2 linked regions of the Danio rerio genome follow. The protein of the gene in region 2 purifies or fractionates together with the protein of the main gene of each other region. This does not show direct contact. Links are inferred from orthologs where the notes say so. Each region holds a gene or a part of one and is shown on either strand. Other genes may lie near its edges.

Region 1 (4,146 bases), on a different chromosome or scaffold from region 2:
CATCACCTGCATTAAAACACCGTAACGCGACACTGTAATCCGTTACTTTCGAGAGAAACTCTCCCCAACACTGTTAATAACAGATACACACACACCATAAACACGCTGAAGACGAGCAGAACACACACTTTAACCCCAGATACTGATGATGGAGGAGTGTCTGCACTGACTCCTGCATTGCTGAAGGTGTTCATTACAGTACACCTGAATCTGAAGCACTGACTCCATCATAAACACACTGTCCAGCTGATCTCACAGCCACATCACACCCTCTACACACTGACAGGGTTATTTCTGAGACTCGGTGTGTGTCCTCAAGCTCTTATTCTCGGCGGAAACTGCGATATAAACACAGTGAGGCGACTGCTGCTGTGCTGCTTTCATTGTCCACCCTCCGACGGGCCAGACGAGGCTAAAACCCACTCAAATCTGCCTTATTGGAGACGAAGCCCAGAGGAGTTTCGGGATAAACTAAGGCGAATGATAACCGGGGGTCTGTGTTTATCTGAGAGGGAAAAATAAAGCGAAAACTGCACCTGTTTGCAGCCAGGCCGATGCCTTCTGCCTCTGTGTGCTCCGCCATAACGGAAATGCCACAAAAGTCCCCATTTCCCGCTCAGCGGTTTTCAAACTTCTGAAACATCGTGACTTTTATTTCCAGTATGAATTATTTAACTTAACTGGTAAAAAATATGCATTTTTCGGTATAGTCCAGTAACTTGGCCAACAGTTTTGGTTACCAGAACGTTCCTATTTAGTTAAAGTTATTTTAGTTATAGTTTTAGTTTAATTAGTCCCAAAAATAACCTAAATTAAAGGGGAAGATTTGTGTTAGCTGGAATGTTAGCACGTTCTCCCTCTCTTTATCCAGTTTTTGATTTATTGATTGTTTTTACGATTTAATTATATTTCGTTTTTAAAAACAATCAAAGACTAAATATTAATAAATGGGGTAGATCTCCTTAAAATAAATCCTGCCATCACTTACTCAACCGTTAACGTTACATGTCCCAAACCGGTTTAATTCCATGTCTCAGTTGAACACAAGTTATTTAAGCGTTGGAAACCAGTAACGTTAACTGTTGACTTCAATAGAATTTATTTTCTTATAATGGATGTCGATGGTTACCGGTGTCGAATGATATTAAGAATGCTTTTAGAAAAATCTTTATAATATATTTCTGTTGTGGACATAAAGGGTTGGAGAGGTTTTAATGAGTTAATTTGTATAGGATAAGAGTCCCCGTGCCGGAAGTGCTCAGACACGTGTGTTTGTGTGTGTTTTCCGCTCCTCCATCATGGACTCCTCAGTGCACACTAGTCTGCTGGAGAGGATAGGAGATGTGGTTCTTCCAGGCGATCTGCTGTTCTCCTTCAGTCCTCCTGAAGCCGGAGACGCGAACCCGAAAGCGGACAGGCTGATCTGCGGCCCGGGGCTGCGGCGGAGCGGAGCGGAGATCCGTGTGTGTAGAGCAGGAGTCCTGAAACACAAACAACCCAACATGTACTGGGTCAACTGTCAGCAGAGACGGGTCAGAACACACACACACACAACATGTGCCAGCACACACTATTGTTCAGAAAATTCACTAACACACACTACAGGGCAGAAAACACACAATAACACACGCTACTAGCCATAACACACAACCTAACACACACTACTAGCCAGAACACACAATACCACACACTACTGGGCAGAAAACACACAATAACACACACTACTAGGCAGAACACACAACCTAACACACACTACTAGCCATAACACACAACCTAACACACACTACTGGACAGAACACACAATAACACACACTACTGGGCAGAAAACACACAATAACACACACTACTAGGCAGAACACACAACCTAACACACACTACTAGCCATAACACACAACCTAACACACACTACTGGACAGAACACACAATAACACACACTACTGGGCAGAAAACACTCAATAACACACAATACTGGGCAGAAAACACTCAATAACACACACTACTGGGCAGAACACACAGTAACACACACTACTGGGCAGAACACACAGTAACACACACTACTGGGCAGAAAACACACAATAACACACGCTACTAGGCAGAACACACAACCTAACACACACTACTGGGCAGAACACACAATAACACACACTACTGGGCAGAAAACACTCAATAACACACACTACTGGGCAGAAAACACACATTACTGGGCAGAAAACACTCAATAACACACACTACTGGGCAGAAAACACACATTACTGGGCAGAAAACACACAATAACACACAATACTGGGCAGAACACACACATTACTGGGCAGAAAACACACGTTAACACAATACTGGGCAGAAAACACACTCTAACACACACTACTGGGCAGAAAACAAACAATAACACACACTACTGGGCAGAAAACACAACCTAGAACACACTACTAGGCAAAACACGCAATCACACACACTACTGGAAAAAAAAAAACACACCACTAGGCAGAAAACCCAACCTAACACACACACTACTAGGCAGAAAACACACAATAACACACACTACTGCCAAATTGGTTGACATCGCCCAACCCTACTAAATAAATATATATATATATGAGTGAGAGAGAGAGAGAGAGAGAGAGAGAGAGAGATAGAGAGCTGTATACTACGTTTGGTCTATATAAATCATTTATTTTAGTCATCTTAAAGGGTCAGTTCACTCAAGAATGAATATTTACTCCCTTTCTCAGCGTATTTTTAAACCTTTACATGTTTCTTTTTTTGTCAAACACAAGAGAAGATACTTTGAAGAATGCAGAAAACCGGTAACCATTGACTTCCATAGTAGGAAAAACAAATGGAAGACAATGGCTCCAGGTTTCCAGCATTTTTCTAAATATCTTATTAGTGTTCTGAACGGGTCTGGAACAAGTAAAGGGTGAATAAATGACAGAGTGTTCATGTTTGGGTGAACTGGCCCTTTTTAACACTGCACAGGTCAGGATGTGTCGTGGTGCTCCTCTATCTGTGCTGAAGGTGTTCCGGACTGACCTCTGCTCTTTCCTGCAGTATGTTCCAGCTAAGGGTGAGAGTGTGATCGGCATCGTGACCGCAAAGTCTGGAGACGTCTTCAAAGTGGACGTTGGAGGAAGTGAGCAGGCGTCTCTGTCCTACCTGGCCTTTGAAGGAGCCACCAAGAGGAACAGACCCAACGTGCAGGTACATGATGACAGAGCCACTCCAGCAGCAACAACTCATGATCAACAGTGAAATGACAGATCGACCCACAGGGAAGCAGCAGCAGTCAGTAATGCAGGATGATCTGCTGTCAGGGCTTCACCGTCAATAACTGTGATTATAATGGAAGTGAATGGAGCAACAACAGACAACATAACCAAGCAGAGTCAGTGTGAACACACACACACACACACACACACACACACACACACACACAGTGTGAACAGTGTGTTGATGAGTTATGAAAACTCTCACAGCATTTCCCCATAATGTGTGTCAGACTCAGATTATTCAGCAGAAATCATCACATTTACTGAAACACAGAGAAAGAGGACAAATGAAGACTCGACATCAACCCAGAGTGGAGGAAAACAACCCAGCAAAGTCGTGTTCGGTGTGTATGAGTCCTCCTAACGCTGCTGTTTGCTCCTCCAGGTTGGAGATCTGGTGTTCGGGCAGTTCACCATCGCCAACAAGGACATGGAGCCGGAGCTGGTGTGTATCGACAGCTGCGGGAGAGCCAACGGGATGGGTGTGTTCGGAGGCGACGGGCTGCTCTTTAAAGTGTCGCTGGGACTCGTGCGCAGGTCTGACCTACAGCTACACACACACACACACACACACACACACACACACACACACACACACACACTCAACAGCACAGGCAGCAGGGAAAATAAGAGTTATAGAAACACACTTGTGAAGCGGACGAGTGTTTAAACACAGTGTCTGGTGTATTAGGACAGGTCAAGCCAGCACACACTACTGATCAGAAAACACACACTAACACACACTACTGATCAGAAAACACACACTACTGATCAGAAAACACACACTACTGATCAGAAAACACACACTAACACACACTACTGATCAGAAAACACACACTAACACACACTACTGATCAGAAAACACACACTAACACACACT
Region 2 (4,210 bases):
AATGTACACAAATCTAAATTCTTTAATAACTTACCTCGAGAACCATTGATTTCTTGAATTTATGTAAAGGAAACACTGAAAGAAACACCAAGAAACTTGACTTTACCTTCAATCATTGACTTTTCGGCTTAGTCCTTTTATTAATCAGGGGTCACCACAGCTGAATGAACCGCCAACTTATCAAGCATATATTTTACGCAGTGGATGCCCTTCCAGCTGCAACCCAACACTGGAAAACATTCATACACACTCTTTCACACTTATACACTGCAGCCAATTTAGCTTACCCAATTCCCCAATTCCTGCATGTTTGGAGTGTGGGGTAAACCGGAGCACCCACAGGAAACACACGCCAACACGGGGAGAACATGCAAACTCCACACAGAAACGCCAACTGACCCGGGACTCGAACCAACGACCTTCTTGCTGTGAGGCTACCCAATCATCATATGCTGAGATTCAAATGAACCTTGAAATATTGTTTGATTGTACTCAACTGAGTGTTAGCTAAAACGTTAAATAAAAGTGGTAATTATGACGCTTGAATATACAGTATACACCATATAATTACCACATTTGTATTTCAAGCTAATTAAATTGCACTGCAAAGTGTTTTAAAGCACACAGTTGAATTTAAAAACGTGAAATAAATATAAAACAGTGCTTTAGTTCAGCTAAAGTAATACAAATGTGCTTAAAGGGGCCTTAAAATATATAATATTATAATATATATTAAATTATTTTAGAACAAACATATATTAACCCAATATTTGACTATAATGTGGTGAAAATAACTGTTAGTTACGCTATTACACGACAATAAATATGAATAAAACAACTTAATGCTATAACTAATGTCTGTATTTACAAAAATCCTCAGTAAGAAAATAAATAGCAACTTTTAAGTCGTTTACAGTTGTTATTTGCCAGTAATGAACTGTAACAAGCGAAGTTTGTACACAGTAAAGTAAAAACTCACCTCAGTAATGACTCCTTTCAGTGATTGAAGACGAACTGGCGTGTTTAATTAGGTAAATTTAACCATACAGGAAAGGGTTAATGCGCCACTTCAGACGAAAGCAATAAATTGTCGATACATTCGACAAAATTGTATATAGCAAATCAAATTAAAGTAAACGATACCATATAATACAGACTAACATTAACTTAAACGCTTTATTATGCGATTATACTTCAAACATAAGTAATAAATCTGAAATTATTGTCAGTGGATGTGTGTTGTGCGACTCGTCGAGTCTTGCACATGTTGCTAGAGCGCATGCGCAGAGTTCATGCGGACTGCTATTTATTTTAGCAGCTCGTGCTACGCACAGTAATGCTGCCAGTGTGGAAGACATAACTGTCAGAAAAGCTCGCTTTATCTCTCTTCATTCACTTAAAAACGTGTAGTGTTAGTTCTGATTTGAAATGGCGAACGATGGTGGAGCGAAGCTGTCTAAAAACCTCCTGCGGATGAAGGTAAATAATGTTAGCCGACTCTCCCAGTGTCGGAGGAATATGATGAGCTCGTGATTGGGATCGTACTAAAATGTCCTCGTGTTTGAGGTCGGTTTTGTTTTGATATGAACTGAATGCTGTAGATCACTCGCTGCAGAACACGTGACTGATAGACAACAGTCTGTCTCTGTGTGTGTCTGTTCATCTGTGTCTCTGTCCATTATTTTATCCGCCATATTGTATATCCCATTCGTTCTGTCCATTTTTTTCATCCCTCTGTCTTTATACTTGTCTGTCTTACCATCTGCCTTGTTGTCTTACTTTTCATGTTTGTTTACCTCGTCCTTTGGTCTTTCAATAAATCTCTATTTCCATCTTATTTTTTTTATCTGTCTCTCTTTCTGTCCATCTTTTCTTCCATCTGTCTTGTCATTTGGTCTGTTCTTGTCTTTCTGTCTGCCCATCATTTTTATCTACCTCCATGTGTCATTTTATGTCAACGTCTTTCTTCTGTTTATCTGTCTGTCTATCTTTTAATCTGTTTTTCATCTGTCTGATAATCTGTTTTTGTCTGCGTCCATCTGCTTGTCATTTGGTGTCTGCATCTTTTTTCCATCTGTCTGTCCATCTTCTCATCTGTCTGTCTGTAGTTCATGCAGAGAGGATTGGATGCGGAGGTGAAGAAGCAGCTGGATGAGGAGGAGAAGCGGATCATCAGTGATGAACACTGGTTTCTGGATCTGCCCGAGCTCAAGGCCAAAGAGTGAGACTTCAACAACTGTTTTTTTTACTCTTATCACGGTGCTTGTACACCCAATGAATGAAATAGTGTATGACAACAAATATCTGTGGAAACCCATTTCTGGTGCATAAAAAAGCCTCAATCAAAAACATCAAACCAATACCTAATTATACTAATACTCAATTAAAGGGGCAGTTCACACTGAAATTAAAATTGTCATCATTTACTGCACTTTGATTTATTCCAAATCAAAACAATTTATATTTCTTTCAGCACAAAATAAGATATTTAGAATAAAGCTGAAAACCTGTAACCAGGAAAAACAAATACTATGAAAGTCAATAGTTACCAGTTTGCAACACGCTTTAAAACATTTTCTTTAGTGCAGTTAAAAATTATTTAATCCCAAAGGTTTAGAATATTGACCAAAAGCAAGCAAACAAATAAATAAAATTCAGACATTTCCAATATGTTATATCTAGATCAATGGATCCAAAACCACCAGTAGGTGGCGACAAATACCTGACTGATTCAATAGTGTTTCTTCCCATACTGATAAACTTCCGGTGAACAGTTAATGTGACTTATTTCTAAGGGTGTCACGATCCTAAAGATTCTAAAGGCACGATTCGATTTTCGATTATGAATGATTAATTAATGACCAATTAATTATTTGTAGCCTACCGTTTAAACTACCTGACCTGCATGGTCTTTGTTTTACCCATAAACAAATCATACAGTAAATGAATAAAGGCAAGATGCACACATAATTACCTCCTGTCAATCACTTTTTCTGCGGGACTCGTGAATAGGCAGTGATCTGTGTCATTATAATGGCGTCTGTAAAAAAGACGCACAACCAACAGGAACCAGCCAACAGTGTCTGAGGTGTTCGCTAAAATGACAAAGTACAAGTGAGTGAAAGATTGAAGCAGTCCTCTGACTGCCTGGACCTGCTGTCTCGAGCGCATGGCTGTGTGTGCATCTGTGTCTGTGTGGTCACGTGATGTGCGTTTTCAGAGGTAATGAGGAAGGAGGGCTGCTCAGAAATGCTACACGCCACTGTGGATGTCAAATCGTTGTTGTTCTAAAATGCCATTTAAAAACAAAGACAGTGTAAACAGGGCCTGAGTGTGAACTTTTCGCGAGCGGATTTGCAACGGGGGCGGGCGGAGGATCGCGATGCTGGTGTTGTCTATCGGACGAACCATACGTAATACGTATATAGCAGAGCTTGCAAAACTGTGTTTTTTTTTTTTGTCGACAACACGAACGTTGTCAACATAACTCACTGGAAATCCAAAATGCTTAAACACCGGCGACTTCATTGAAAGAGGAGAGGGTTTAAGCTCTGTCGACGGGTCTCCTGCTTCTGCAGTTTAACAAGCACTTCAACAAGCCTGTTTTTTTCCCGCTTGGCAAGCCAAGCTGACGTGACATCGGGGCGTGGCAGCATCGACGATTCTATTTTGTAATTCGATAATCGAAATTGAGCATAAATTTCGATCGATTTCGATTAAGAATCGAAATCGTGACACCCCTACTTATTTCCATTCCTTTTACAGCATCTATGTTGTACTGCAAATAAAATACAATCAGTTAAATAGACCCAAGCATTTATTTAGTTGATCAAGCGCAAAACGAGATCAAAAGTTGTTTACTCGCACACGTCAGAATCAGCAGGCTAGCGCAGAAGCTCCATTTAACATACTGGGGTAAAATAAATGCTCATATTATAAAGACACGACGGGGGAAATGTAAATTAATGTAGTGTTTCTTGTACAATCTGAGACCCGCTTATATCGTATATCAATTAGGCATTGAAGATGGTTGATTTTTAAAGAAAACAGGCCTTTTTGTAACTGCATACAGTAGGACTGTGCGATAAATCGAATCACAATTTGAAATGTTGCGATTAGCTTATCACAAGAGGCTGCGATATGACATAGATTTGTATTTAATTTCCCACGCCCCGAGCAAATGCATGACTGCAGTCTGCGTGTGACAAGT

Evidence for each region.
Region 1: the proteins of mphosph6 (region 2) and exosc3 purify together in Homo sapiens (affinity purification with mass spectrometry; 6 studies listed by BioGRID and IntAct, counting the BioPlex papers as one, with this or other methods). This does not show direct contact. The link is inferred for Danio rerio from reciprocal best matches to the Homo sapiens genes MPHOSPH6 and EXOSC3.

The regions. Positions count from the first base shown.
Region 1 is NC_133189.1:58,545,100-58,549,245, reverse strand, and holds the start of exosc3 (exosome complex component RRP40), read left to right. Parts: upstream 1-1,287; 5' UTR 1,288-1,298; coding exon of another isoform or gene 1,299-1,532; 5' UTR 1,533-2,044; intron 2,045-2,239; 5' UTR 2,240-2,925; coding exon 2,926-3,198; intron 3,199-3,651; coding exon 3,652-3,803; intron 3,804-4,146. Other genes in the region: tcerg1a (transcription elongation regulator 1a), read right to left, coding at 537-583. UniProt on the Homo sapiens protein: Non-catalytic component of the RNA exosome complex which has 3'->5' exoribonuclease activity and participates in a multitude of cellular RNA processing and degradation events.
Region 2 is NC_133200.1:38,541,718-38,545,927, reverse strand, and holds the start of mphosph6 (M-phase phosphoprotein 6), read left to right. Parts: upstream 1-1,335; 5' UTR 1,336-1,428; coding exon 1,429-1,479; intron 1,480-2,108; coding exon 2,109-2,221; exon of another isoform or gene 2,222-3,459; intron 3,460-4,210. UniProt on the Homo sapiens protein: RNA-binding protein that associates with the RNA exosome complex. Involved in the 3'-processing of the 7S pre-RNA to the mature 5.8S rRNA and play a role in recruiting the RNA exosome complex to pre-rRNA; this function may include C1D.